Arabidopsis thaliana: one gene and its partners. The protein of the gene in region 2 interacts with the protein of the main gene of each other region in a pairwise test. Each region holds a gene or a part of one and is shown on either strand. Other genes may lie near its edges.

Region 1 (11,369 bases), on a different chromosome or scaffold from region 2:
TGTCATTTTTTCGATTGGAATTTGAATATAGTGTCGATGCTAATTAGTTGGACAAAAAATGAAATAGGTATCACATTCATTATTTGACTAGATTTATAGAATTCCATATCATTGATTATAACAATTTAATAGTAAATTTTTAAAAAAAATCATAGGTTTTTTTTTTAGTTATGTTATTTTTATTTGTTAAACGGTTATGTCAATCTTGTGTTTAATGGTTCTAATTTCTTTTACTATAAATAGGAACGAGAATTTATAGCATAATAAAAATAGTGTTCTACCCATATTGCTACTTATGAGAGGATCCATTGTGTTAAGTTTTTTTTTTGGATTAACAATCTTGTGAGTGTGATGATTGGTCATTAACTAATGTCGGACTCACTCTATTATCTTGTTATCCAAATGACATGATCCAAAAGTTTTCTCGTGCATGAGGATAATGCTTTTCTTATTTTTATATACTCTTATTCTTTATCTGTTATAAATATATTGATGGATGCATTAGCATCAAAGAGTAATACGGTGACAAACAAATATTATCACTAATAATGATTAGTTGGGTGAGTGAAGCCTCACTACTGTTTTCCTCCCACGGGACGAGGGCTCGAGGTCGTCAAAATTCGAGCAATAATTATGTATGATTAACCATTATTATTTCAAATGAGTTGAACTATGGACGATCAGAAAAATATAAGTTACACTAAGTTATTAGTAGTACTATAATTAATAAACAAAATTGCCGACATAAACTTTTTTTTTTTGCCGACATACAAAAAAAATAGAATTAGAACATCAGTATTTTTTGTTCATCATTACAAAATTATAAATACATTTAAACTTGAGTGGAAAACTGTTCCAAGGTAAATTTAATCAATTAATTATGTCACTGTATAAATGCATAGATTAGATTTAAATCCATATTATACTGATGCATCTTCATTTTTTTAGCCACGGGATAAAATTCCTCTGTTGATTTCTATTACAGTGTTAATCTTATATTTCTTTGATCTTTTCAAGTATTAGCAGTCGTTGGTTGCAATTATTTTCTTATAAATTTATGGATTTTGGTTCAATTATTTTTATTATAAATTCATCTTAGATTTTGTATGTACTGAATGAGGTAAGTACCAAAACAAAGCCGGCTTTTACTGTTGGTTTTGTTGGACCACTTCAGACATTTTAATCAATATAACACATCTTCTATGGATTACAGTAAATTATTTTAAATTTCCTTTTGAGTTTCTTCATGTTAAAAATAAACAAACTGCTATTCTGTTATTATATATTTCCAAGAATCATAATTATATATAATGAAAACAAAACTGACTCAGAAATAATCTTTGACGTAATGTTTAGCCATCATTTGGAATTAATATCATGTTTTCCTTTTTCATATTTGTTTTTTTTTGTTTCTTTCATGTCTCTTCTACTTATCTGTCTTCCCTTTTTTAATGATCATGAAAAAATTATCTTTATAATTTTCGTAATTTTTACTCCAATTTTAGTTTAATATATAGAAAACGGTTTCTTCATTTTTATTATTCTTTAATTCCATTTAAATTTTAAGTTTTATTAAAACCAATGTGACTTTACGGTTTTTTACGCATATATTTAAAGGGAATATTCCCTAATAAGACATTTATAGAGAAAGTTTGGACGTTTGGGACACTTTTGAGGGAGTGAACACTTTTCCACATTTTTATTGATTTTATAACCAATTTACCCTTATAAACGTGAGAAAGAAAAAAAACAGGAGATAAATTAATTTTGTTGTCAATTACTAAAAAATAATATACGTGACATTAGATAGAGATAACAAGTTAAAAATTAATGGTAAGATCAGTTAAAATTTAGTTTAATCAAATAAAAATATTTAAGTCAAATATTATATTAAATAAAAATATTTAAACCTAAGTAATATTATATATTTCTAACAAATATCAGATATTAAACTATGTTCCTAATTATGTATCCAATATATATTGTCCACGTAAACATATCCAAACAGTTCGCATTATATGAAATGCTTTAAATCAAATAAAAATATTTAAGCGTAAGTAGTATTATATATTTCCAACAAATATCAGATATTAAACTATGTTCCTAATTATGTATCCAATATATATTGTCCACGTAAACTTATCCAAACAGTTTGCATTATATGAAATACTATATATTTAAACCTAAGTAGTATTATATATTCCCAACAAATATCAGATATTAAACTATTTTTCTAATTATGTATCCAATATATATTGTCCATATAAATTTATCCATAACAGTTCGCTTTATATATATCAATACAAGGTCCATCAACAAACTTTTTTTGAGAATATGATACAATATTGTTAACACAAACAAATGGTTTGTGGTGTGTAAACTTTAAACCCTTGAGACTCTGCACTAAAGCCTAATTTCCTTACCCTAAACTCAAACCCTCAATCCCTAATCTTTATCCATTAAATCCAAAATCGTAAAACAAAACTCTAAACCATATAATATATTGTAAGCATAAACAAGAAAGTGATAATTATACTTAGAGATAAAACAAATTCACAGCAAATCAAAGCCAACATGTGTCCATTGATGATTGTCCAAGAAGTTTAGTCCATGTGGTCAACTAATGACTCATGGGGTCGTTTTATTTCAATACACAAGTTTATGTATGATCGATAATCACCAGAATCAGATTCGATGGAAAAAAACAAAAACTTTTGGAACAATTTAAATCGTAAAAATGTGATCTTTACTAAATTCGACCAATATCAATTGCAGATCTAAATGCTAAACATAAGGACAATGAACCAAGGAAACAATTTTTTTAATCTATTTCTTACATCAAATTGATACCCAGATTAGTTGGAGAACGAATCTAAAATAGGAATTGGATGGAGAATTGGAGATAATGACATAAAAATGAAGATAATGACATGAAAATCAATAGGAATCATGTGGGAGAGAGAGAGTACTAACTTGGAGAAGGCAACAGAGGATTCTTCTTCAGCCAATTGTGGATGTGCTTGATTTTACGCCTTAAGACGATGACAGATTGCTTCACGTCATTTTTGTAATCAGAAACTTGACTAATGAAGTGATCCCAGAGAGCAAGGATTCATAGTAATTTTTCAATAAAGAGAGAGAGCAAAATCTGAATCTCAGATTTCAACAAAACCCTAGAAATTCAAATATAACAAAATTAAGGAACGAACTGATAAGTTGACTGATGATGGGAAGAGAGGGAGAGAGAGAGATGAAAATCATGGTAAAAACTTTTTATTTTCTCCACTTGATTGTGTAGACTTGAAAAATGAGAGAAAAAAAAAGAGAGAGAGAAGAGAAGGAGAGAGACAAATAAAATGTAACGAAAGAGATGTGTAAAAGGTAAATAGGTCAAATAACCTATCGAAAGTGTATATTCTTTTTAAAATGCTTAATTAGACATTAACTTTTCAAAAAATGCCTAATTACGTAATATTCTCATTTTTAAAATCTATATTATATTTTTTAACTATTATACATAAAAATTTGTTTCATTTTAGTTATCTGAAATAATTAAATTATATATAAATAAGTATTGTATAGCAAGTTTGATAAAACAATTTGATGATAATTTATTTCAGATTGATGAAATTGTTTGCAATTATAAACTAATATTTATATAGTACTAATTAGTAAATTCTTGAAAGAACAGCAGAAATATTAACAAAAAAAAATAATAACGCCGGAAAATAAATCCTCCTAAAGAAATATTTTTAGATGTGTTGGGAAAAACCATATGGTACGAATTTATCTTTTAATTCCCTATTTAAGTTTTTAGGTTATTAGAAATTTGATGCAGTTTGTTATAAGTTATAACTTATAACCTATAGTTTTCAAAAATATCTATTAAACCCATTAGGCCCACTTTCTCATTTCGCTCATGGTTTATGATTGACTCTACAATTAAACTGGAATTAAATAAAATGTATCACGTCCGTTCCCCCGTACGCTTGGTGGACGCCAGTTACCCTTCTTAAATATCGTTTAATAATCCCTCTCAATTACGCCACTCACAGGCTACCGGTTCCTCCCGTTTACTTTCTCTTACCATCAGCCATCCGTACCACCGGGTTCACCGGTCGATCCTGTAATATCATAAAGCTCGCGTCCATTGAAAAATCTCCTGTCTTATTGTGCTTATTGCTCAATGCTTTTATTCCACGTGTCTCATCAGCCAAAGATAAAAAGGGTAAAAACGACTTCTCGTAGATTCTAAGGGCAATTTAGGAAATTGGAAAATACCTTATGAAGAAAGCAGAGCGTCTGTAGAGATTTCTGTAACGGGGATAAAGTCGAAAAAGTGAATATCCATTCACTTGTCGCCACGTAGGAAAAAGGCTTTTAATTACGATGTAACTTGACTCACTAGATTGCCATCCCCTTATTTTAGGAAGTTGTATTAAGTGGAAATTACTGGAGAATTTGACCAAGGACAAAAAGCTTAATAGGAAGGATACATGCGTGTCCACTTCCGATGTCAACCAATCATACCCTGCCAACTCATATATCGGAAGTCGAATTGACTATTGTACCCTTGTGTTCTACTGTCTTAGTTATGACGTGGACAGCTTCTATTGGTTGTAGTGATTTTAAATTCGTAAAACGGGTAGGGGTTAATAAGATCTCATAGTAGCGCTTGTCTTTTTCTTAATTGTTTATTTATTTCCTATAAAATATTAATTTAAATAGCTTTCCCTATTGGATAGCGAAATTTATTAAAAATTTCATTAAACGAAAACGAAGTGTCGAAAAATGTTTTTTCTCAGGAAAATAAAAATTATTTATTTTTTGGGGGTGTAAATACTTTTCTAGTGAGATCTGAGCTTGGGAAATGGAGATTGTAGAAGAACAAGCTCCTCTCACCATTTCTTCTTCTTCTTCTCTCTAAAAGAAAAGAGACTTCACCGATTCTTTTTTATTATTCCTTCCCAGATTTTCTCGGGAAATTAATTCTTTTCCTCCTCTTTCTTCTCACTTGTTGTTGTTCCTTAACACTCTCTTCCTAGATCTACTATTAACTGATTTCATTTCACGACTAAACCATCGAAGTCTTCGGCAAGATATGGATTTGTTTCTGTTCTATTAAACTTGTTTCAATCGAGAAGTAAAAAAGGTGAGATTTGTCGACCATCGGAGGCCTCTTATGGTTTGATGATATCGTTTGGTTTTCGATCGTCTCAAGTTTTTATTTTTGGTTCTTTCTGAATCTAAAGCTTCTCCCTTTCTTTGTTCGCTGTAGTCTCTATGAATTTTTTGAGAAAAAAAACGTCGTGAAATAACATGCAACAAAGATCCATTTGAGTTTCTTCTCTATTTGTCTATTTTGACTTTGTTTTTATGGAAAAAAAGATTCGATGAAGTTTTTATTTGGGATTTTCTGATCGGATTTTATTGCTTGTTGTTAGTTTCCCTGTTCTATTTATAGAAGTAGCGTCTTTACAAATCCTCTTTGCTTGATTCTTTATTGAAATCTGTTTGACTTACTGGTTTTTCAAAAAACGGTTGATTTTGGGAATCGTTAAGACATGGTCTTGTTTTCAGACAAAAACCCTCCCTTCTTGTCTGAAAGTGACTTTAGCTGAGATTTATCTTAACTGGAGTACTATTCCGATCTAGTTTCTGTAAAATCAATGGATAAGAGAATTAAAAAGATTCTCTTTTGGTTTTTTATGATCGATTTATTAGTTCTTTTATGTAAGTGATCTTTTTGATTGAATTTTTGATTCTTTTGATGATGTTTACAGAATCCGATTCCACAGATGGAACTATGTGCTGTGGATCAGACCGATTAAACCAGATCGTGTCATCAAGATCTTCGTTGCCAATTTCTTTCGAGGAAGATAACAATCTTGTTACCAACACAGACATGAATCACTTAACAGTCGAAACAGAGGATACGTTTGCGAGCTTGCTTGAGCTTGCAGCTAACAACGATGTTGAAGGTGTAAGGCTATCTATCGAGAGAGACCCTTCTTGTGTAGACGAAGCTGGTCTCTGGTACGGTCGTCAAAAAGGTTCTAAAGCTATGGTCAACGATTACAGGACTCCGTTGATGGTTGCTGCTACTTACGGAAGCATTGATGTGATCAAGCTTATTGTTTCTTTGACTGATGCTGACGTGAACCGTGCTTGCGGGAATGATCAGACCACTGCGTTACACTGCGCTGCTTCTGGAGGAGCTGTGAATGCTATCCAAGTTGTTAAGCTGCTTCTTGCAGCTGGAGCTGATTTGAATCTGTTGGATGCTGAAGGTCAACGAGCTGGTGATGTTATTGTTGTTCCTCCTAAGCTTGAAGGCGTGAAGCTGATGCTTCAGGAGCTTCTTTCTGCTGATGGATCATCTACTGCGGAGCGGAATCTACGGGTTGTGACAAATGTTCCGAATAGAAGCTCATCTCCGTGTCATTCTCCTACTGGAGAGAATGGTGGATCAGGGTCTGGTTCACCGCTCGGCTCTCCTTTTAAGCTGAAATCTACTGAATTCAAGAAAGAGTATCCGGTTGATCCGTCTTTGCCAGATATCAAGAACAGTATCTACGCGACTGATGAGTTTAGAATGTATTCCTTCAAGGTCCGGCCTTGCTCTCGTGCTTATTCACATGATTGGACTGAGTGTCCTTTTGTTCACCCGGGTGAAAACGCGAGGAGGAGAGACCCGAGGAAGTTCCATTACAGCTGCGTTCCTTGCCCGGATTTTAGGAAAGGAGCTTGTAGGAGAGGAGATATGTGTGAGTATGCGCACGGTGTGTTTGAATGCTGGCTTCATCCGGCTCAGTACAGGACCCGTCTTTGCAAAGATGGAACAGGCTGTGCTCGGCGGGTTTGTTTCTTTGCGCATACACCCGAGGAGCTTCGACCTTTGTACGCATCAACTGGTTCAGCGGTTCCTTCGCCTAGATCGAATGCTGATTATGCAGCTGCTTTGAGTCTCCTTCCTGGTTCTCCATCAGGAGTCTCTGTCATGTCCCCGCTTTCCCCATCAGCAGCGGGGAACGGAATGTCTCATTCGAATATGGCTTGGCCACAACCAAATGTCCCTGCGTTGCACTTACCAGGAAGCAATCTACAGTCAAGCAGGCTAAGGTCTTCTCTCAATGCAAGGGATATCCCGACGGATGAGTTCAATATGTTAGCGGATTACGAGCAGCAGCAACTCCTCAACGAGTATTCCAATGCTCTGAGCCGTTCTGGTCGGATGAAATCAATGCCTCCTTCGAATCTTGAAGATCTTTTCTCAGCAGAAGGCTCTTCATCTCCCCGGTTCACTGATTCCGCTTTAGCTTCCGCGGTGTTCTCGCCTACACACAAGTCAGCTGTCTTCAACCAGTTCCAACAACAGCAACAGCAGCAGCAGAGCATGTTGTCTCCAATCAACACAAGCTTTTCTTCACCAAAGAGCGTTGACCACTCATTGTTTTCAGGTGGAGGAAGAATGTCTCCTCGGAATGTTGTTGAACCAATATCACCCATGAGTGCTCGGGTTTCCATGTTGGCTCAGTGCGTGAAGCAACAACAACAGCAACAGCAGCAGCAGCAGCAGCAACATCAGTTCCGTAGCCTTAGCTCCAGAGAGCTCAGAACAAACTCTAGCCCAATCGTTGGTTCACCGGTAAACAACAACACATGGTCATCAAAATGGGGATCTTCAAATGGTCAACCGGATTGGGGAATGAGCTCAGAAGCACTTGGTAAGTTGAGATCTTCGTCATCGTTTGATGGTGATGAGCCTGATGTGTCATGGGTCCAGTCACTGGTGAAGGAGACTCCAGCAGAAGCCAAAGAGAAAGCAGCAACATCTTCCTCAGGGGAACACGTGATGAAGCAGCCAAATCCGGTTGAACCGGTAATGGATCATGCTGGGCTAGAAGCTTGGATTGAGCAAATGCAGCTCGATCAGCTTGTGGCTCAGCAGAATTGAGAGACCTAACCAAAGAATCACATGTTCTTGTCTGGTCTCTCTATGTGGTAGATAAAAACCTCTTTTTTACAGGTGGTGGTGGTAGAAGGGTAACAAGATTAACAAAGAAGAGAAGAGAAGAAAGAAGATTTCTTTGTTTTTGGTCAATTAATTTTCACAAAAAACAGTTTTTTTTTTTTTTATTTAGAGAAGAGAAGGGAACAATACAAGAAAAAGGCTTATGGGAAGAAAGGAGATGAAACAAAACCTTCTTGGTTTTCTTTCTCCCATTTTCAATTTTTTTTTAGGGATTTCTTTCTCCCATTATCATTATTATTATTGTTATTAATATTATTATTTTTTATATATTTTATTGTTATGACTATTTGTTATCGTTTGTTATAATGAGTACCCTGAAATTAATTGCAATAATCTTTAATCTTTTTAGTTTCTTTAATCTTGTGGGAGAAATAAGAGTGGCCTTCAAAGCAAATTCTTGGGAGACATGTGTCTATGTTAATTACTTAATGACTCACTAACTAATTATTTATGTGGCGTTAGTGCAATAAATAGATAAATATTTGTTGGGTAGAAGAACTGAGTGGGGGCTAATCCATAAAGGATTAATTTTTGGATTTCTTAGGGATGTGGATGTGGTTTATGGGGCAGGTGACAGTGATATAGTATATCTTTAAATGTAATATAATAAAGATTCTTAAGTAAGTTCTTTACTTTTTGTCAATTCTTAATAAAAATTGATCAACCACATTTTCTTTTTTTAATGCTTTGGAATATGCAAATTTAGCTTTGTGTTGAGATGGTGGCCTGGTGGGTTGATTTAATAATATTCACTTAAATTCTTTTAATACTTTACATTATCTAAATACGATAGATATTAATCTGTTTTTCACTCCTTGGTGCAACCAATTTTTGTATCCTCGAGCTCACGTGACTGTTCTCTTTGGACTCTTTCTTAGCATTAAACTTTGATCAGGAAATGAAAACAAAAACAAAAACAAACCAAGATTAGTGCGAACATGTTTATTCATTCTCTGTTCAGTTATCTTGTCTTCTTTTGCTAGAGCGTATAGCCCAATAATAGGATGTTTAAGTTGTTCTTTCTTTATCGGTTATACTTTAAATAAATATAAATTTCACTAAAGAAAGCAAATGGACGGATTTGAGAAATTAAAAAAATAGGTGATCGTCACCTTTCAGTGATCAAACTTTCGGTGCATATGTTTGTTCTTGAGTGATTTTCTTTATCACCTTTTATATTTCCATTAATATTTTAATTTACCAAAAGCTTTGCGGTGATGTGATCAAACACAAAAATCACAAGACTTATGCCGAGTATCTTATTCAAGATAACACCAAACCTATTTGAGCATATATTATACGCAAGAATAATATTTCTAAGAATTTATTCATCAATTTATACCTTTTAAAAATATTGTTTTGGGTTTAAAATATAAAAGAAAAGAAAAAGCTGATTGCGACGCAACTTTAATCAAAACCAAACAGAAAGAAAAAGAAGCATAAACAGAGAAAGTAAGGTGAAGAAAAAGCATAGCAGAAGCTAGGAAATTCATTCCTTCTTCCCCCTTCTAATGATTCTCTTCATTGTTCCCAAAAAAAGTCTTCAAATTTCACTTTGTTTTTATTCATTCATAATGTTTAATACCAAAATTTATACCAGCCAAAATCTACTTTACCAAAAAGTTTAAGGTTTTTGATATTGTCTTTTTAGGTTCGGAACAAGCTAATAATAACATAAATAAAAGGGATGGATCACCCACCTGGGCCACTCTAAAGTCTAAACCAATTGAAGTAACCATTTTAAACACACAAAATTATGTTGGTGGGCTTTTAGCTCTTTAAAAATCCACACATATGTTAGTGGGCTTTAGCTCGTGGACCAGATACGGTTACATGGTTACAAAAGGCCAAACCCAAATCGGAAAACATGCCGGAAAATACGATCTGCACTCATTTTGACCAGGTAAAAATATGGTTGGAAACGCGTAAATGAATCAAAGCCACACAATGAAATAAAAATTCAACGGTGAGGTTCCTACATTATTTCTGTAATTTCTGTTTTTTTTGTGTGAACAAACGGATTTCTAATTTTAAATTTACCTAAAAATAGCTTAACTCCATCCGGTATAAATCCCCAAAAGCATCATCCAATTATCCTCAGACCTGCGAGAAACAAAAAATAATAAAAGTAAACAAAACTACCAAAAAAAAAAACAGAAAAAAACCTTTCAGGTCTCAACTAGCAATGGAGATGAAGAAGATTGCCTGCGGAGTCGTTTTCGCTGCTGCTTCCATGACCGCCGTCATGGCTGCAGAGGTCGGAGCACCTGCACCAGGACCCGCCGCAAGTGGAGCCTCCGTAGCTGTTCCGGCTCTTGGCTCTTTGGTTGGAGCTTCCCTTGTGTCTCTCTTCGCCTACTACTTGAACTAAGCTTTTCTATTTAAAGCAAAAAAAGAAGAAATATCGATGTCTCTGTCAATTTCTATGATGTCCAATTTTGTGTGTGTTGTTTAGACAGGCAAAGTGAATAAAACGAAAAATAATTTGATTACGGTCAGACATGTTTTTATGTAATGCTGATTAATAAATATATATATACACTATCTGTTTTCTCTTTTTCATATATCTTTCTTATACTACCACCATATTTTGGTTACTATATTTTTTGCGCAGGTATAATTTTGACCAAGTTAGAATTTTACAAAGTCTTAATTTTATTGAATTCAACATATAAAGCTTTGTGAAAGTTATTTGGTTTAGGTGAATTCACATGGTCTACACAAAACAAAAAATGTACAAGCAGAAAGATATTTTCTGCTCATAAAAACATCCTCAAACTATTGGATATTGCCTAGAAATCGCTTACCGGTTCTAGTTTTCTGAGTGATTTTATCCGACAAAAGTACACATCGTAATTTCAAAACAAGCGTATCACTTGTTGAATCTATGACGAATCACAATCATAAACCACTGGTCTTGTGATTTTGTTAATGGTTCAAATTATAATGTTGATTGATGTCTCACATAAGTCACAACAGAACATGATCAGATCATAGAAGCCACTAACAACTTCAGCCGCAGTAATCAAGCTCTTAATTAGCGATTTGTATTGTTAACAGCGATGCCTTTTTTAATTCTTTTATTTTTTTGGAAACTAAAGTTTTGTACGCTTTTCAGAAAAAAGGAAATTGTTATTTTCGTTTATAATTTTCGTTTATAAATTAATACGATTTGAAGTTACTTATGTTTTACAGGAAAAAAGGAAACTAATGAGTTTACTTATCTCTAACAGAAAGAAGGAAACTTTTCTCTATATATATGATAACTCTCTTCACCAAATTATTTCGATTCTCAGATTTCACGTACATCACCTAGGTTTTGTTTCTTAACTTG
Region 2 (8,655 bases):
GAGATTTACATGGAGCATAGAAGGCAGAGTCCATAACAACTCAGGCACTTTTCCTTTAATTCTATTATTGGAAATGTCTAACCACCATAATCTTTGTAAGTCCTTAATAAACATCGGGAACTCGGTGATGTTGCAGCTCGACAAGTCTAGATGTGTCAAATTTTCTGAACCGGTACCAACCACTGAAACACTATTTCCGGAAAGATCCAAACGCACTAGAGACTTGAAGAGCAAGAAATCAAAGTTGAATGTGTAGGGTGTCTTCTGAAAAGATAAGTCAATTTGTATGAGGTTGGCTAATTTTGAGATAGGTTCTAGGATTCGATGACTCATAAGGTTATAAGCCATGTCTAAAATTAAAAGTTTAGAGGTTGCAGAATAATTTATATTCTCAAGAGGGTCACTAAGATGGTTTTGGCGTAGGTTAAGAGAAACTAGAAAAGGCATGGTGAAGAGGTAAGAAGGAATGGCTCCAGAAAACTTATTATATGATAGGTCTATATTCTCAAGAAGGGTTAAACTATGTAGATTGGGAATACCACCGGTGAGCTTGTTATATGAAAGGTCTAAATTGGTTAACCGGCTTAGGTTACTTATTGAGGATGGAACTTCTCCTATAAACCCATTTTTGCTAAGATCCAAGGATTCCAAGTAGGTCAGTCTACCAAATCCAGAGGGTATAGGGGACGAGTCAAAATGATTTTCAGAGAGATCGAGGTACCTGAGGTGTTGGAATCTGAAGAGGCTACTATTAGCCTTGAGACTAGTAAGACATTGACGACCAAGGGACAGCTCCTTCACCACACCGGTCTCGCTATCAAAGGAAACCCCACTAAAGGAGTCAGAGTCTTTGGTCCAGGAGCTTATATTTGCTCTAGTGTCCATTCGACCAAAGTAATCGAGTTTCCAAGTGAGGTCGCAGTTGAAGGATGGAAACTCATTCTTCAATTCCAACAGAATCTCAACTTGATCGCGTGGGAAAGGAAATGGTAGAGTGTAAACTGAATCGCTGGTCACAAAGACGCAACAGAAGAAACAAGTTATGAAGAAAACGGCCAAATTCGATTTCATGATATGAAGATATGAAGAAGAAATTGGTATGTATGATTTGGTCAATTTTGCAGTCTACTCTTCTAACAATCATATATAATAAAGATAAAGAGTTATATATATAATAAAGATAAAGAGTTATATATATAATAAAGATAAAGAGTTATATGTCACATCGCTTGCTAGGAAAATTTGAGTCTTTCAGCATGTAAATATTGACCACCACATATTTAGTTCGACCAAGACCGATACCAACCGGGTAGACAGTGGACCAATTAATCAATTTTCTAGATACTTTATATTGTCTCTACACAAACGTTTCAATCTAGACAATTATCCAACTGTAGTCTTCTAGATATTTTTTCGATCTTGTCTGTGGCAAAAAGATGAATTTCATTGGTGATTCTGTAGCCAGAAACCACATGGAGTCTCTTCTCTGCCTCCTGTCAATGGTAAGATTTTTTTTTTGGACAACATCTTATAACATAACTCCTTAAGCTTGTGACTTAAGAAATCTCGTTTCTTTGCTTTGGTTTCACAGGAAGAAACTCCGAAAGATATCTACCTCATGGCAAAGTTTCTAGTGGCCGGACTCGAAAGGACTCATGCTAAGAAGACCGGAACAGGAATCTATGATCTCGACATTGACAAGCGAGCAATGGGCAATTGATCTGCTAAATACAGACATTGCCATTGCCATTGGAAATCTTAACATCTCAGATAGAACAGCTTGAAGATATTTAAACGTGACAGCTTAAAAAAGAAGAAGTTTGAGGTTTTGGATGTGACTAGGGTTATGCTAATGAGACCAGACGGGCACCCGAATTCTTACTGGGGAAATAAATGGATGAAGGGTTTCAATGACTGTACTCACTGGTGCTTGCCTGGACCAATCAATGCCTGGAGCGAGTTTCTCATGGCCATACTCAGACAACTCAGGTAAATCTTGAGGATAAGAAATTTTAAAAAGTATAAGGTGATGTCTTAATTCAATTCTCATTACAACCTTTAGTTATATGTGTAAGAAAGAGAAGACACATATTATTTACAGGACATATACAAAACTGCACATACCTGGCATTGTTTAATGTATTCATGATCATAGCCTGCAAAAAAACATTGAGCAGAGGAATAACAGTTTCCACCATTCTTAGTGTTCATGTGAAGACATGAAACATAAAAATTTCCTGTGATCTTCCTAAGAATCTCAAAGTGCATAAACTCAAAATGATGACACAGAAACCAAACGGAAATTTTCATTCAACGGATCATAGCGATCTAAAAGACCACCTTGAACAGTCCTTGTCCCAAACTCCAGAGACTAAAAATTACAGAGAATTGAGACAGAAATAGTAACAGCTAACTTACTCACCAACCATGACTACAACACAAAGCCTCAATTGTATCCTAACTCTTAACTCTAGCTATCATAACACAATTCAGATCGAAACACACATCGACAAAAGATGAGAACATAATAAGAGAAGTGAGAAAGGTGAGATTGATAAATAGCAATTCTCCAACTATTCCTTAGAAATATCCGAGTTCAACAGTAAAGACATAAAACACATATCATAGGAACTTCTAAAGATATCGACTTTGACTACAACACAGAGCTTCTATGTGTTCTAGTAGTTAACTCTAGCAATCAAAACATCATTCAGATAGATAAATAGCAAATTCTCCAACTATTCCTTAGAATTCAACAGTAAAGTTCGAAGCTTTACATAGAGAAATTACATAAAAACCAACAACAACAGATCAAGACTCCAAAGTGTTACCAAGAGGAAATGAGAAGACTTCACGAACAGGAGAAAACTCAACGAGACCAATCTCCATACCATAACCATTCACCGGAAGCTTCAAATCTCTCAACACAGAGAAAGCCTCAGCCATACGAGACTTAGGAACATCAAGAGCCACGGGACAAAACGGAACCCAAGAATCAACACGATACTCTTCACCAATGTCAACAGATTCTTTCTTCAACATATCACATAACTGAGTCTGCAACTGAAGAAGCGATAGAGACGGAGTCGGAGATAGAAACAGTACGTTGTTGTCGCTAGAGAAGCTACCGATAGTAGAGAACGAGATCGAGATTGGTTCTTGCTTGGATACGAAGTTTTTGATGACGGATTCGAGTCTCGTTGAATCGAAGAAGGAGGTGGAGAAGAGTGTTATGTGTGGACGAGACTCAGTGTTGATCAATTTGGTACTGATTTGACGGCGAGCGAAGACGTTCCATGCTTTCAATACTTGGTTTTCGAGTGCTGGATCGAAGTATAGCTCGATTGCGTAGCCTTCTGACATTTTATTCCAAGTCGGAATTGAAGATCGGAGATGGAATTGAAGATGGATCGCGATCGGAGACAGAAGGAAGATGGTGGAGTAAGAGAGATCGATTTACTCAAAAAGGGAAAGTGAGAACATCATCAAATTTCAGATTTGGTTTGTGCATTTTAACCGATCCTAACCGAATCGAACCGAACCAACTCTAAATCCAACTTTATTAAATTCGGTTTGAGTTCAGCAACAAATTACGAATCTCTGTAACTAACTAATTATGGTTTAGACTTTTAAGATGAAGACCAACAAGGCCAAGTTTGTGGTTTTAACCTAATGATGGCTTGGGTTAACATAATTATAATTCAGTAATTAGAAGCCCAATATCGTTATTGGGCCTAACTTCAGGCCCATTTGTCTTATATTCAGGCACGACGGGACAATGATCGCCGTTTCTTACAACCACTCTCCGATTATAAACCCTAGCCGCGTCTTCTTGCAAATTTCAATTTCAATTTCACTGAGAAGTTACAATCCAGAGGAAAAGATTATCTTTTTCCTTCTGGGTTGAGGGAAAAGATGAAGAATTCTGAGAAGAGAGGACGTAAACACAAAAGGCAAGATGCTTCATCGGCGGAAAACGCCGGCGGCGAAGTTAAAGAAGCTTCGGCTAATGAAGCATCGTTACCTCAATCCCCTGAGCCTGTTTCAGCTTCTGAAGCCAACCCATCTCCGTCGCGACGCAGTCGTGGGAGAGGTAAAAAGCGTAGATTGAACAATGAATCAGAAGCTGGTAACCAGAGGACGTCGTCACCAGAGCGTAGTAGATCTCGTCTTCATCACTCTGATACGAAGAATGGTGATTGTAGCAATGGGATGATTGTTTCAACAACTACTGAATCGATTCCCGCTGCTCCGAGTTGGGAAACTGTTGTTAAAGTTGTTCCTTCAATGGATGCTGTTGTTAAAGTCTTTTGTGTTCACACTGAGCCTAATTTCTCGTTGCCATGGCAAAGGAAACGACAGTATAGTTCTGGTAGTAGTGGTTTTATTATTGGGGGAAGAAGAGTTTTGACTAATGCACATTCTGTTGAGCATCATACTCAAGTTAAACTCAAGAAGCGTGGCTCTGATACTAAGTATTTGGCTACAGTCTTGGCCATTGGAACTGAATGTGACATTGGTATGGATCTTGTATCTAATTTCTGCATCTGTTTTCTGTTGTTTTGAGTTGCAATAGAATTTTTAAGTAGTCAGAATTGATTTTAGTATGTAATTACAGCTTTGTTGACAGAAACTGATGATTTACTCTTTTTAGTGTAGTTTGAGTTGCAATAGAAGTGTAACTAGTCATATTGATTTTCTATGGATTGTACTTTTCTCCTTGTTATGTCTGTTATAAGTTTCATTGACAAATGTGTGAAGTCTGGAGTTTTACTGTTCTTGTCTATGTGGCTGATGATGTTATACACTTGGATTACAGCTTTGTTGACAGTTACGGATGATGAGTTTTGGGAAGGAGTATCTCCTGTGGAGTTTGGTGATTTACCAGCTTTGCAAGATGCTGTTACTGTTGTTGGTTATCCAATTGGTGGTGATACAATCTCTGTCACAAGCGGTGTTGTTTCCCGGATGGAGATATTGTCGTATGTGCATGGATCAACCGAGCTTTTGGGATTGCAGGTTGGACAACACATTTGACATGATATTTTTCCTTATCTGACTAGGGAGTTAAGGGCACTTATAAAAATGTTTTCTGTTTTTGTCTTTTCAGATTGATGCAGCTATTAATTCTGGGAATTCTGGTGGTCCTGCATTTAATGATAAAGGAAAATGTGTTGGTATTGCATTTCAGTCTTTGAAACACGAAGATGCTGAGAATATTGGTTATGTCATTCCCACACCGGTGATTGTACATTTCATTCAAGATTATGAGAAGCATGATAAATACACAGGTAAGTTTCACCGATGATTAATGTTGTTTGTTATCTATCTCTACATGTGCTTTTTTCTCATACTTGAACTGTTTTAGGGTTTCCTGTTCTCGGAATTGAGTGGCAAAAGATGGAAAATCCTGATTTGCGGAAGTCAATGGGTATGGAATCTCATCAAAAGGGAGTGCGGATTAGAAGAATTGAGCCAACCGCCCCAGAATCACAAGTTTTGAAGCCGTCTGATATTATCCTTAGTTTTGATGGAGTTAATATCGCTAATGATGGGACTGGTAATAATTCTTTCAATAACTTATTAGCAATCATTAATGGGACCAATGAGTGTAGTTATTTCTGGTTAAGTCTAGACAATCCTTAATAACATTTCTGTTCATGTTTGTGTTTTTGCAGTTCCATTTAGGCATGGAGAACGAATTGGCTTTAGCTACCTTATATCCCAAAAGTACACTGGAGATTCTGCTCTCGTGAAGGTTCTACGAAACAAAGAAATATTAGAGTTCAACATAAAACTTGCAATCCACAAGAGGCTAATCCCTGCTCACATAAGTGGCAAACCTCCTTCGTACTTCATCGTTGCTGGCTTTGTATTTACAACTGTCTCTGTTCCATATCTTCGATCTGAGGTCCTTTACTGTCTCTCTATCTTTCCTTACTTTCTCGCTTTCTCTCATGCATCCATTCACAGTTTATATAACTATTTCCCATTGATATGTTTTGCAGTATGGAAAAGAATATGAATTTGACGCACCTGTCAAGCTATTGGAGAAACATCTTCATGCAATGGCTCAATCCGTGGACGAGCAGCTTGTTGTAGTTTCACAGGTTGGTTTCTCCTGTTTCACACGTTAATGCAGTCATAATTATTTTGGTGTCGAAGCCTCAACACCCATATTTTAACTTGCAGGTTCTTGTTTCTGACATTAACATTGGTTATGAAGAGATTGTCAACACCCAGGTTTGTTAAATTGCATTTATCATTTGTCACTTTATTGAAGCATCTGTCACGCTAAATGTTCAAATCGCCGTGTAGGTTGTCGCCTTTAATGGCAAACCTGTGAAAAACTTGAAAGGTTTAGCTGGGATGGTGGAGAATTGTGAGGATGAATATATGAAGTTTAATCTGGATTATGATCAGGTATGTTATTTTCTCATCTTCCTTAACTTTTATACAAACTTATAAACAATTTTTAGCTAAAATTCTTTGGTGTTTCTACAGATTGTTGTTCTGGACACTAAGACAGCAAAGGAAGCAACATTAGATATTCTGACCACACATTGCATACCTTCTGCTATGTCTGATGATCTCAAGACTGAAGAAAGAAACTGAAACAGAAGGAACCATAACCAGAAGGAGAGAAAGAGAGATTTTTGTCCATGGAAGGACATAAAAGCAAATACAGTCATGGAAAGACAAAGAGAAGCTCAAACCATAATTTGATTTTTCTTGATTCTGTTTTGTATTTGGAAAAATATGCAAGAAGAAATACATTGGTTATTTTTTCTCTCATTTATTTTCTTTGAAGTTTGAACTTGGTAGAACAATCATATATATCCACACAAAAAAAGTATGCAAAAAGAAAGTGAAATGGATGAGATATAATCATAGGTTCTTCTACCAAATACTTCACTTTCCATTCATCTATATGTCCCAAGTAAAATAGTGGGATTCGTAGCGCTTTGACATTAAGAAACCCTAGTCTGGTTTAGCTACCTGAACCGATTTTGAAAACTAAGATCGAACCAATTCAGTGAAATCACCATACCATGGTCCAAGGATCACAAAACACCAATTTTATTAACAAACACTAATATGTGTGTCTCTGGTTTTTGTCTACGCCTTTTTTTAATGAGTTTTGGACTATTGGTCGAACTATATTATAAAATGGATGACACACATAAATAGTATTAATCTGTCAGAAATCACTCATGAAAAACTAAAGTGAATATTGATTAGCTTTTAAAATTATCCAAGAGAGGAGCATTATGTGAAGGAGAGGACTCTATTGCTCCTATTATGTCAACTTTGTCTTCCTTGGCTTTACCCCACAACACCATGTAAAATCCTATTGATATCAATATTCCTCCCATCACACTGTACTCAAACATATAGAGGAGGATTGAGAAATGACATTTACATAGTGAATTTAAAATCATGAGAAGCAACAGTTTTGTGGTATACCTTCCAAGGTAGAGCGACTCGCCGAGGAAAATGAAAGTTGATACGGCTGCTATCAATATAGATAACGGTTTGAACATAGACAAATACACAGGTCCCTTGTGACTCACTGCCCACGTATGTATAACATAATATCCCGAATTCAAAATCCCCTATGAAAAATGTATATTCCATAAATCATCAAAGACCAAGAAAAACGAATAAATGAACAAACATATGAAACCAAAGTTATAAATATAATGTCATGAGTACCGTTGCTACTACGGTAATTAAGGTTATGTCGAATCTTATGACCCATGCCTTCGGATTGTCCTTCTCTGCCAAAAGGCTCACAAATGCACACACAACAGCTATGCAAACATTGTGCACAAGCGTCACAACGACGGCAGATGGATATCGACCCATTGTGTGAGCCTATAAATAGCCGAGTTTTGAGTTACCATATATTAATATAATATAACTAAGACAACTATACTATTTCAATGACATTTTGGATATAACATTATCTAGTAAGGTATACCATAACAAGGTAAGAGACGGAGACAAGGATGTATTGGAGAGCAAGAAGGCCACCACCGATGATCCAATCCGAATGTGAAGACATTAGCATTGGACCGTGGTAGAGAGTAACCACAAGTGCACCTATTATTGACAATATTGTTCCCAACACTTTGGCTACACTACTCTTTTTCCCTAGAGATATATTTTCCATTCTTCATAAAAAAAAAGTGCAAGTGAGTAAAATATAAAAAGTATTCTTTCTGTTCCTTTTTAATTGATTTTTTAAACAAAATACACAGATTAATAAAAATATATTAAAACTGAATATAAATGTATTTATGAAGGCCAAACAAAATTTTATAAACCACACCAAAATTTTTTATAAACTATTATGGATTTGTTTATCCTTCTTTCCTACCTAAACTCGAGAGTCAGCTCTCATATCTTATTATAAACTATTGATATATTTTCGTTATATATAATTTATACTGATATATTTTATAGTTTTCAAGAAATTTTCGGAAAAACATTACCTTGCACACGTTTTCAGTGATGCTTTTCCATACACGTTTTAATTTTATTTTTTCTTTTGTTGACTTTTCAGACAAACGTTTTCAATAATATTAAAATGGGACAAATTTTCATGCTGTTATATTATAAAATTAATCTAAAAAACATATTTCGTGGACT
Region 3 (10,455 bases), 7.6 Mb from region 2:
CCATGGGCAGTAACGGTGACCTGATAAAGCTCGACACAGCTTGTGGGCCTGATTTAGCAAGACAGTCGAAAGGATGCCAGATTCCAGGTTTCTTGTGTAGTATATCCTTTTTATGAGCGGCAGTAGATTTCTTGCTGGAAATTTCTGTTGCCTTATTGATGTCACTCGCCTCTGACCTTATGCCAGAAACAGAAGTCAAGACAGACAAGGACTGGCATCTCTGGCTTGCCGGTTTGAAATCTTTGTCAATGCAGGAAAATTGGTGTTCTTGTGGAGCAATCGTTAGCATACCGCTAAGACAAGCATTGGTCTCATAAACCGCCTGAGAAGCTTCATTTAAGAGCTTCAATTGAGGGTATCTTTCAGCGTCAAAATCATGAAGAAACTGGTCAATGGTGATTTTAAGATTATCTTCAATCACCCCCAGCATCAAATCTTGCCATAAATGCTTAGTAGAGCAAGTCCATTCTTGAATTCTTACAAAACCAATCCTGTCTCGTATGTCATACCAAAGTTGCTTTACCGAAACCGGGAGATAGTTATATTCCTTATATATCTCAATCAAATCAAGAAACAACCAACTGCCACGACACTCCCACGTCTCTGTAGCCTCATTCCAATCCTGAGTAATACGTAAAGATTGAAGATCAGCATCCAATTCATCACCCAAATCAGGGAAAAACACCCTCCTTTTCTCAGAACCATTCTCGTGGTCAAAGAGCACACCTTCCCACCAAGCATCACTGAAAAACACATCGACGCAGAGCCCATACGCAAGGTTCAGTTTAGCAACATCCAGCTTTGGCGGCACAGGTCTTAAACGTCCACGGAAAGTATCAGAAACATCAGTGCAATCATCCAACCCTTCTACTATATCAGAAACATCAACAGTTTCCACAAGATTACCAGAACCATCATCAGAGAGAATGTTGTCATATCTGATACAACGCCGACGTCGCTTTTTAGCTGAAGTTACAGTTCCTAAATACCAAGAACCCAGAGACCCCTCTTCAAGACTCCTTACCTAAACAAGCAACACAAATACTTTTCCAGGATTAGAAGACGAAGCAACATTAAAAGCAACATATAAGTTTGCACTAAAAATGGAAACTACTAAACTTTTAACATCTCAAAAGCTAAACAAAAAGCTACAGAGAACCAAAAGTGATTATAATGGAGAAACAGACAATGTAGCTTTTACAAAAGTTGAATCCATCAATTACACTCCACGATGAAACTCAAACCTTGAAAAAAATCCGAAATTGCTCAAAAGGTTGAGAAAATGAAAAACCCTATAAACCCTACAATCAAAAAGACCCATGGTGGAAAGGAAATAGTCAGGGGGGAAAACAACAAGCGACCTCTATCTTATCACCGTCGAGAAGCTTTTTCCGGCGGAGATTTCGTCTACCGGTGCTGTTCCAGCCGAATATCGGCTCTTCTTCCTCCGCCGCTGGCATTAAAAGCTTCGAGTGAGAAATTTGGAGGGAAAACAAAAACAAAAAACGCAGTGTTCCGATAGAGCTTGGAGAATATTGAAGAGAAGATTTTTGTGGGTAAGAGAAGAGATTTGGGAGGTACTTGTGTGAGTAGCAGCTTTCTCCCCAAGTAACGCTGTACTAGTCTCTGCAACTTTTTTAGTCTAATCCCAATTAAACAGCGAGATTAATTAAAACTAAAGGACATTGATGTTGTTTTTTGGTTGATACACGCGAAAAGAGTGGAGATTTTTAATTTTGGTCAATTTGCACTATTTCCTAATTAAAAATCCAAAATTTACCCATTTCACCCTCTTATTTCTTTATTTCTTCTACTTTCGTACTATTAAAGCTTGCTCATCACTCTTTGACTTTGACTCTGTTTTTCACTCTTCTCAGATATAGCTCATGAATACGACATTCTTTCTTCGGATTCACCATATGACTTTTACTTGTGAAGATAGTAAGATACTATCTCATTAGTTACCAGTTCTTTTTATTTACGTCCATGAAGAAGAAATTGGCTTCCTTCTTTTAAATCAAGAAGATAGACTAATGGGCCAAACCTAGGTCTTTAATTATGGGCTTTGAAACAGATCATTATCCTCGTATAGCCCCGCATCGGTATTTCTGGCCCAGAAGTGCTTGGCGCCAAGTCGAAGAGAGATAATTCACTGCATTTAGGACCATAAAAGTCAATATGGTCTGTCCAATAAGGCTCTGCCATTTGGGGTTTTGTCGCAGCGACGTCGGCTGATAAAATAGCAAATAGCAATGCTTAGTCGCTTTCAGTTGGTCCCACATGCTTCTTATTCCATTCATTCTAGTCAGATTATGGATTCTTGTGGGTCCTTTTCCTAATTGTACACTTAGACTTTTCTACCTTTTTTCCCTTTTTATTTCGCTTTATATCAAAATTAACCTAACAATATATCTCATCGTGAATACAAGATCTTGACCGTCTGTTTTCAGCATTTTTCATACCATTGTCTTTTGAGTGACTGACTTATAACAAATTTTTAAATATTGATTTGACATTGGGAATCAACAGTGTTTATGTTAAGAAACAGGATATAATTATCTAAAAATTAATAATTTGTCGTGTATATATACAGTATTTGCACTATCATATTAATATTATGACTTTACTTATTTATTAGAACTGTAAATTAGAAGAAGAGAAAATAAATGGCTTTGTGTTATGATGTGAGAGAGAGCCAGTGGAGCAGCTTCGTTAATGCCGCTGCAAAAAGCATTGATGGGTTCGGTTGCATGCATTTGGATTTGGTCTGGTTGCAATACAAAACAGTAGTCGTTTTCAAAAAAATATTATTATACATTTGCAATTTATGACTACTTTTATATAGTAGTACAACATTGTCATGGATCACGAATCACTATCTTTTAATATAATAATACAAGCATAGCGACAGAAAATACAAAGTTTGGTAAGGTTTGTTCGAATTCTTTCCATTACCGAATTTAAATACACATTATTTTAGTCTCTTAGGATATTTGTATTACCTAATCGTCTTTTTGTTGGAATTGTCGACCGAAAAAAACTGAACATAAACGTCAATTTCTCGACTTTATAATAATTATCTCAATTATCTTTAAACTTTATGATAATTAATTTTGATGAATATAACTCAAATCAAAGCTATGACAAAAGAGAGTTGCTATCAAGCGAAACCCACTCGAGACGGTTCCGATTCTGTGTTTTGGTGCATGTTGAGATTATTCTGGGGCGGTGACAAACCAATTAAAAAGCTATGGTTAATTGGTTATATAACTCTAGGTAACAGGCAGTGGTTTTATCTTTAGCTCGTGAATGGAGAAGAAAAGTAAGTAGCTCATTTTAAAAACATGCTGACGATGCATGGTTTCCACGTCATCCCACCAAAAACCGGAAAAACGCGTGAAGCGTGACAAAACCGATGAGCGAAGATCCTCTGTGTGAAGTCTAACGTACACCTTCATTTCCTTCAGACTTTACAAATTAAAATTGAAAGTAAAATAAATAAATAGAAATAAAAAAGACGAGAGAGAAGTAGAAGAAGAATGATGGAGATGGTGGTTTTGTTTTATTATTTAGAGTAAGCTTCTTCATTTTTTTAAAAACTTCTATTATTTTGACCTTAAGAAGAAAGTGACAAGGAGAGGAAGAAGAAGAAAAAAAACATAATTTGAGGAAGAAGAAAAAAAATTCGGATTTGTTTTTTCAATAAATTGACTAATTGAGTACTCGTTTAAAGGAAGTGAAGAGCGGTTTTTTGGTAGTGGTGGTCGAGAAAAGAGAGAGTTTGTCTCTGTGACTCAGAGGTAGAAAATCTTTACTCTTTGTTTCTTTGATTTGATTAGTCACTAATTTAGTTTCAGTTGAATCCATATATGTCGATTTGTTTTAGAGTTTGCAGTTTGTTTTTAATTGTTTTGCTGATTGGAAAATGAGTTAACAATATGATTAGTTTTCGATGTTGCAAAAGTGGTTAATTATGGATCTGTTGGTGTTTATTTTTGGTTTGGTTTGTTTTAAAGTTGGAAACTTTGTATCCCAAACTAACAAACTCTTCCTTCTCTCCTTAGCTTAATCGTTTCTGCAGTTTTTATTTCTGTTTTGTATGATTTTGTTCTATGTATATTACCATTTTAATCAGAAGAAAAAAGATTCATCCTTTTCAATTTGTTCTGCAATTTTTTTTGCAGTGAAATCAATAGAGCGGGAAAAGATTGTTGCTTTTTTTTGCCATGGGAGTTGATGAGCTGTCTCACCTCAAATTCTCTCTTCTGCTAGAATCATCAGCCTGCAATGATTTGTCCGGTTTTAAGTCTCTAGTTGAAGAAGAAGGTCTTGAGAGCATTGATGGCTCTGGTTTGTGGTATGGGAGGAGATTAGGATCAAAGAAGATGGGTTTTGAGGAGAGGACGCCTCTTATGATTGCTGCCTTGTTTGGAAGCAAAGAGGTTGTTGATTACATCATTAGTACTGGTCTTGTTGACGTGAACCGCTCTTGTGGCTCTGATGGTGCCACGGCTCTTCACTGTGCGGTCTCTGGCTTGTCTGCCAATAGCCTTGAGATTGTTACTCTTCTGCTGAAGGGCTCTGCGAATCCGGATTCTTGTGATGCTTATGGTAACAAGCCTGGAGATGTGATTTTCCCTTGTTTGAGTCCGGTTTTTAGCGCGAGGATGAAGGTTTTGGAGCGTTTGTTGAAAGGAAATGATGATTTGAATGAAGTTAATGGGCAAGAAGAAAGCGAGCCAGAGGTTGAGGTTGAGGTTGAGGTTTCGCCTCCTCGGGGGTCTGAGAGGAAGGAGTATCCGGTTGATCCAACGCTTCCTGATATCAAGAACGGTGTATATGGGACGGATGAGTTCCGGATGTATGCTTTCAAGATCAAGCCGTGCTCTAGAGCATACTCTCACGACTGGACGGAATGTCCCTTTGTTCATCCGGGTGAGAACGCAAGGAGGCGTGATCCGAGGAAGTACCATTATAGTTGTGTCCCTTGTCCTGAATTCCGGAAGGGGTCTTGTTCCAGAGGTGATACTTGCGAGTATGCTCATGGTATCTTTGAGTGCTGGCTTCACCCGGCTCAGTACCGGACTCGTCTCTGCAAGGACGAGACGAATTGCTCGAGAAGAGTTTGTTTCTTTGCCCACAAACCCGAGGAGCTGCGTCCTTTGTACCCTTCAACTGGATCAGGTGTTCCGTCCCCGCGGTCTTCCTTCTCATCTTGCAATTCCTCGACCGCTTTCGACATGGGACCGATTAGTCCGCTTCCTATCGGAGCAACAACCACACCTCCTTTGAGTCCTAACGGTGTATCCTCTCCAATAGGTGGAGGAAAAACGTGGATGAACTGGCCTAACATAACCCCTCCTGCATTGCAGCTTCCAGGGAGCAGATTGAAATCTGCATTGAATGCAAGAGAAATCGATTTCTCTGAAGAGATGCAAAGTCTTACTTCTCCAACTACATGGAACAACACGCCAATGTCATCTCCATTCTCCGGAAAGGGCATGAACAGGCTTGCAGGAGGAGCAATGAGCCCGGTGAATAGTCTCAGTGATATGTTTGGGACAGAGGATAATACATCGGGTTTGCAGATCCGACGCAGCGTCATTAACCCGCAGCTGCATTCCAACAGTCTTTCTTCATCACCTGTGGGAGCCAATTCTCTGTTTTCGATGGATTCCTCCGCAGTCTTGGCTTCAAGAGCGGCTGAATTTGCTAAACAGCGAAGCCAAAGCTTCATAGAACGCAACAACGGACTGAATCACCATCCCGCAATCTCTTCCATGACTACAACTTGTTTAAACGATTGGGGCTCATTGGATGGGAAGCTTGACTGGAGCGTCCAAGGAGACGAGCTACAGAAGCTCAGAAAATCCACTTCTTTCCGTCTCAGAGCCGGTGGCATGGAATCAAGACTGCCTAACGAAGGGACTGGGCTCGAAGAGCCAGATGTCTCATGGGTGGAGCCGCTGGTGAAAGAGCCACAGGAGACAAGACTAGCTCCGGTTTGGATGGAGCAATCATACATGGAGACAGAACAGACCGTGGCTTGAATCAAAAGTTTTGAACTTTCATTAACCGTTCCACAAGAAGCAAAGTCAGAAAGATTCCGAGAGGTCGATGCTAATCTATTTCATTTTATTTGTTTAATGCTTTGTTATTTTTCTTTAGAATAAAAAGAAAAAATTCTTAGGGGACAAAAGAGAGTTCGTTTGTCTCTCTCTCTGTCTCCAAAGAAAAACAGAGGTGAAAAAAGGTTTCAAAACCTAAGAAACCTTGAATTACCTCACCTCACTTCCTTGATTCTTTACTATTCACAATGAGTAATCGATTTTTTTTTTTCTTGGTAACACTCTCACGCTGAATATATATGTTTTTTAGTAATAATATAATTGGAATACAGAAATGTATTTACACTTGTGAAGTTAGGGAAAGTGTTGTAATTGTTTCTTCTAAGAGTTGATCTAAGATGTTTGAGACTATATCTTCGCTTATGATTCCTTCTATATCTTCGAGCTTTAAAGCTTTTCCGTTAAACCAATCTGAACCTTCAAGGTCAGATACAGTGAGTTTGCAGATCATGAGCCACATCTCTTGGTAGCCATGAAGTCGGATTTCTTGGTCTTTTGATCTACTTGTCAATGTGATGTGATCTTGTTCAATCGTTTCATTGAGCTTACTAGATTCAAGTTCTGAAGACAACCGTCTTCTTGAAATGTTTCCTGTTACAAGGAAACAAGTATGCTTTAATAACACAAGAAAGGACATTTCAATTTTCAATACTGAAGAATTACCAACCTGGTGATGGAGTTACTCGAACACCAGCATACCGGTCATAATCAAGAACCGAGACAGGGCTCGAATCATCGCAGCTTCCACACTCTTCTTCTTCTTTTGTTGATCTCACTTCACAATTTACTAAATCTTCTTCTTTGGACCAACAACCATTACTTTGGACCCAATTCTCCTTCTCGATGTTCTGTCTCAACTTAGTTTCTTTTCGTTTTCTTCTGCTCTTACGTTTCTCCTTTCTACGCTGCATCAGTTCTCCAATCTCAAGCCTCTCACGTCCTGGTGAAACGTTCATGGCATTGATGTTGTTCTCTTTACCCTCTAGGTGTGTTTGATCCTCTGTTTTGCTCTGGTTCTCTCTAGTATCTCTCCTCTTCTTACAATTTCTAGTTCCCAGCTCCTTATCATTTTTATCCTTCTCGAAACTGAGAATGAAGAAATCATCATCTTCAAGCTCAACATACTCAAGAGTGGACTTAACTCTTCTATGCTTTCCCTGAATCTCATCGTCGTCCCTCTTCAAATGATTCACTGAATGGCTCCTTGAGAGAAATCTGGTTTTGTCGATCACGGGAATTGAGTCCAAACCCATGAGCCTCGCCACAGCTCCTGGCCCATCTCCTCTGCCTCTGAGTGGCTCGGGGATGAAATCACGAGACTTGAAACTGGGTTCAGTAATTAGATCAGATGGGTAGGTAGAAGAGGTGCCGGAACAGAGAAATCTTTGAAGAATGATAGAGATACAGCCGAATGACCGAGTCTTCGAGCCGAGTGAGAGAGAACTAGCCGGAGAAGGCGATGACTTCATCTTCATGGTCTATAGTGTCAGTGTTTCGAAACTAACGGAGAAGTAACGCATAAGGAAAATAACTTTTGTCTTTACTTTTTTTTTTCGGTTGAGTGATGATGGAGAGCAAAACAAAAAGTGTGAACAAACTCAGAGCGGGATCTAGAATTTGAACTAACATTCTCAGTCAAAAACAAAATGTAAATCAGCTTTTTTTGTTGTACTTTTTGTGATTGAGAAAGCAATAGACAACAGTTGAGACGCTGTGCACTGCACGCGTTTTGACAAGTCAATTCCCGGAGAAATTCATGTCGTCCGGTGCCGCTTTTTTATAACAAACCTCTGTCACTTTTGTTCTTTTTAGTTCTTGAACCGAGTCAACAAGAAAAAATAGTTGCGGATCAAATATTTGGGCCGTTTTGATACTTTTCAGTGGGCTTTATGTTACTTCTATTCATTCAAGCGGGGGTGTAAGTGCAATAAAATATAAATACAGGGGTATTTAAGCAAATATTTCAAAATATAAGACGTCAACAACAATGAGCAGGATAATAATATTCCAGCATCCAAACAAGTCTTATTGAACTCTCTCGTTCCGTCTTCTCCGATTCGCTTTACACTACTTCTTCCCTCGTCTCTCTCTCTCGCGCTTCACTGTGAATTAATCGAGAGATCTAAATATCCGCCATGGACAGAGCACAATTGATCTTGTTAGGTCTACCTATATTCTTGTTTTGTTCGGATCTCTTCAACCTCTTCACTCCTCCGCCTCCTAAACCTCAGCCTCACCGTCCTCATCAGCCACCGCATATTCCTCACCAGCATCGTCCTAATGCGATCATCCCCGAAACCCTAGACTTTCCTTCACAGGTTAAATTTCTTTTATACTTTCGTGTATTTCACTTCTATTGGTTACGGTTTTGATCTCTAAGCTCCCATTATTTTGCAGAAGACAAGTGGCTTAGGAGGAGCAATTGGATATGGAAATACAGTAGAGATCAACTTCTGCGTCTCCTGTTCTTACAAGTAATTCAATTTTTCTTACTTAGATTTTAAGAAATTCGATTTTGATTTTAATGTTTTTACTTAGAATCGGATTTATAGTTATTCTAGTGTAGTCAGAGAATCTTAAGCAGCTTGTAAGTGAGGTTTTCGTGGTGAGAAAGAAAACTTAGATAATGTGGAAACTACATAAGAACTATCTGATTCATGCTTGAGGTCATTGCTTCCTTGTAGTCAGATACATGAACATCCTAATTAACATTGTCATAAGTTTCAGTGTCTTCAATAAGCAAATCACTGCAATTAGACAGTTTGAGATTTTATTTCATAAAAACATCATCTCTGTGACTGTTGTTTGCACTGATTATATCTCAAGGCTTATTCCTGCTGCAATGTCTATACATGTATATGATTTTCAGTTCCCATTGACTATTGATTTTTATAGGATTCATTATAGCTGCAAGGTGAATAGGATTTTAGAGATGTGTGGTCGATCAACTTTGTTGATTGGGGATGATTCTTAGATGCTAGAAAACCTGAAAGGCCTGACTTTGGTTCTTATATATGATTATGAATGCTAAATGACATGACTTCTTTGGATACTGTTTTGAACTTCTCCGCAAAAGGCATAAGTAACTCTAGCTTTCTTTATCAGTGTGACTGGTGTTCATCCCAATTTTTTTAATTTGTAGGGGAACTGCAGTCACCATGAAGAAGATGTTAGAGACGGCTTTTCCCGGTTTAGATGTGATTCTCGCAAATTACCCACCACCAGCACCAAAACGCCTTCTAGCTAAGGTTGTGCCGGTTGTTCAGATGGGAGTTATTGGTATGATAGTTGCAGGTGATCGTATCCTTCCCATGATTGGAATTACGAACCCACCTGCTTGGTTCCACTCCTTGAGGGCCAACAGATTTGGATCCATGGCTTCCACTTGGCTTATCGGAAACTTTCTGCAGTCTTACCTTCAAAGCTCAGGCGCCTTTGAAGTTCACTGCAACGGCGAACCGGTTAGTAATTAATGGTTTAAGATTATTTCCAGATATGTAAGATCAGTTTGTACTAAATCCTGTGTTTCTATTTCAGGTGTTCTCTAAATTGAAAGAAGGTAGATTCCCAGGAGAGATCGAGCTGAGAGATCTCATCAGTAAAACTCTAACACGACCGAGCATACTCACAGGCAGCAGCTACTGAAGTAGTAGTATCAGAAGATAGAAACGCTGGAACCTTTCCGTGAAGTTCTCACAAGTATTTTTAATACGAGATGGTGGTACAATCTCATGTGCCAAAAGTGTCTTCTATGTTTCAGTTAATCTGTTGATGTAGCATACCTTGGTTTACCTAGAGTGAACTCTTTTGATTCAATCATTTTGCATAGACACAAATTGGAAAATAAGGTACAAAGTCATTGCCATAAGAAAAAAATAAATGAAGTTGTATGGAGATTACGAGAAAATATCTATATAGACAGATTAGAGAAAGCTATATGAACTGAGATTTAATCTCAGACAAACTGAAAATGTAAACAAGAAGAGTTCTTTCCTTCTGCGTTAACTAAAACATTACGTCAGCCTCTGCCGACGACACGTTGGCCGGTTGCTGACGGAGGAACGCCGGGGTCGTGCTTAGGATTTGCAGATGGGTCACCGTAGTCCTCAACGTTCACCATCAACAAACTCCTTTGGAATCCAGAATTCTCAAACCCACCTAATCCAAACGAAATCATTCAGACATAGAGAAAAACATGAACGAATCGAAGGAAGGAAACAAGAAGATGAGATTCGAACCTGAAACGGAAACAGGGTTGCGGGCTAGAGAAGATGTAATTGTAAGCGTCAATAAGAGACACACAAGAAGACGAACTACAAAAGTCATA

What was found.
Region 1: the proteins of AT5G40190 (region 2) and OXS2 interact in a two-hybrid assay, tested with the Arabidopsis thaliana proteins (one large-scale study listed by BioGRID).
Region 3: the proteins of AT5G40190 (region 2) and AT5G58620 interact in a two-hybrid assay, tested with the Arabidopsis thaliana proteins (one large-scale study listed by BioGRID).

The regions. Positions count from the first base shown.
Region 1 is NC_003071.7:17,485,546-17,496,914, forward strand, and holds OXS2 (CCCH-type zinc finger protein with ARM repeat domain-containing protein), read left to right. Parts: upstream 1-4,725; 5' UTR 4,726-5,152; intron 5,153-5,783; 5' UTR 5,784-5,806; coding exon 5,807-7,957; 3' UTR 7,958-8,377; downstream 8,378-11,369. Other genes in the region: AT2G41905 (uncharacterized protein), read left to right, coding at 10,221-10,406.
Region 2 is NC_003076.8:16,066,487-16,075,141, forward strand, and holds AT5G40190 (RNA ligase/cyclic nucleotide phosphodiesterase family protein), read right to left. Parts: upstream 3,559-8,655; 5' UTR 3,364-3,558; coding exon 2,812-3,363; 3' UTR 2,557-2,811; downstream 1-2,556. Other genes in the region: RLP54 (receptor like protein 54), read right to left, coding at 1-1,071; AT5G40180 (Pmr5/Cas1p GDSL/SGNH-like acyl-esterase family protein), read left to right, coding at 1,437-1,502, 1,592-1,720; DEG9 (DegP protease 9), read left to right, coding at 3,916-4,519, 4,820-5,019, 5,111-5,291, 5,369-5,560, 5,679-5,911, 6,009-6,110, 6,193-6,243, 6,319-6,423 and 1 more; UMAMIT42 (nodulin MtN21 /EamA-like transporter family protein), read right to left, coding at 7,239-7,380, 7,468-7,616, 7,717-7,878, 7,985-8,177.
Region 3 is NC_003076.8:23,689,733-23,700,187, forward strand, and holds AT5G58620 (zinc finger (CCCH-type) family protein), read left to right. Parts: upstream 1-3,526; 5' UTR 3,527-3,800; intron 3,801-4,184; 5' UTR 4,185-4,226; coding exon 4,227-6,050; 3' UTR 6,051-6,408; downstream 6,409-10,455. Other genes in the region: AT5G58610 (PHD finger transcription factor), read right to left, coding at 1-1,024, 1,362-1,460; TRM31 (uncharacterized protein), read right to left, coding at 6,409-6,719, 6,796-7,603; AT5G58640 (Selenoprotein, Rdx type), read left to right, coding at 8,264-8,446, 8,526-8,602, 9,271-9,589, 9,666-9,773; PSY1 (plant peptide containing sulfated tyrosine 1), read right to left, coding at 10,147-10,286, 10,367-10,454.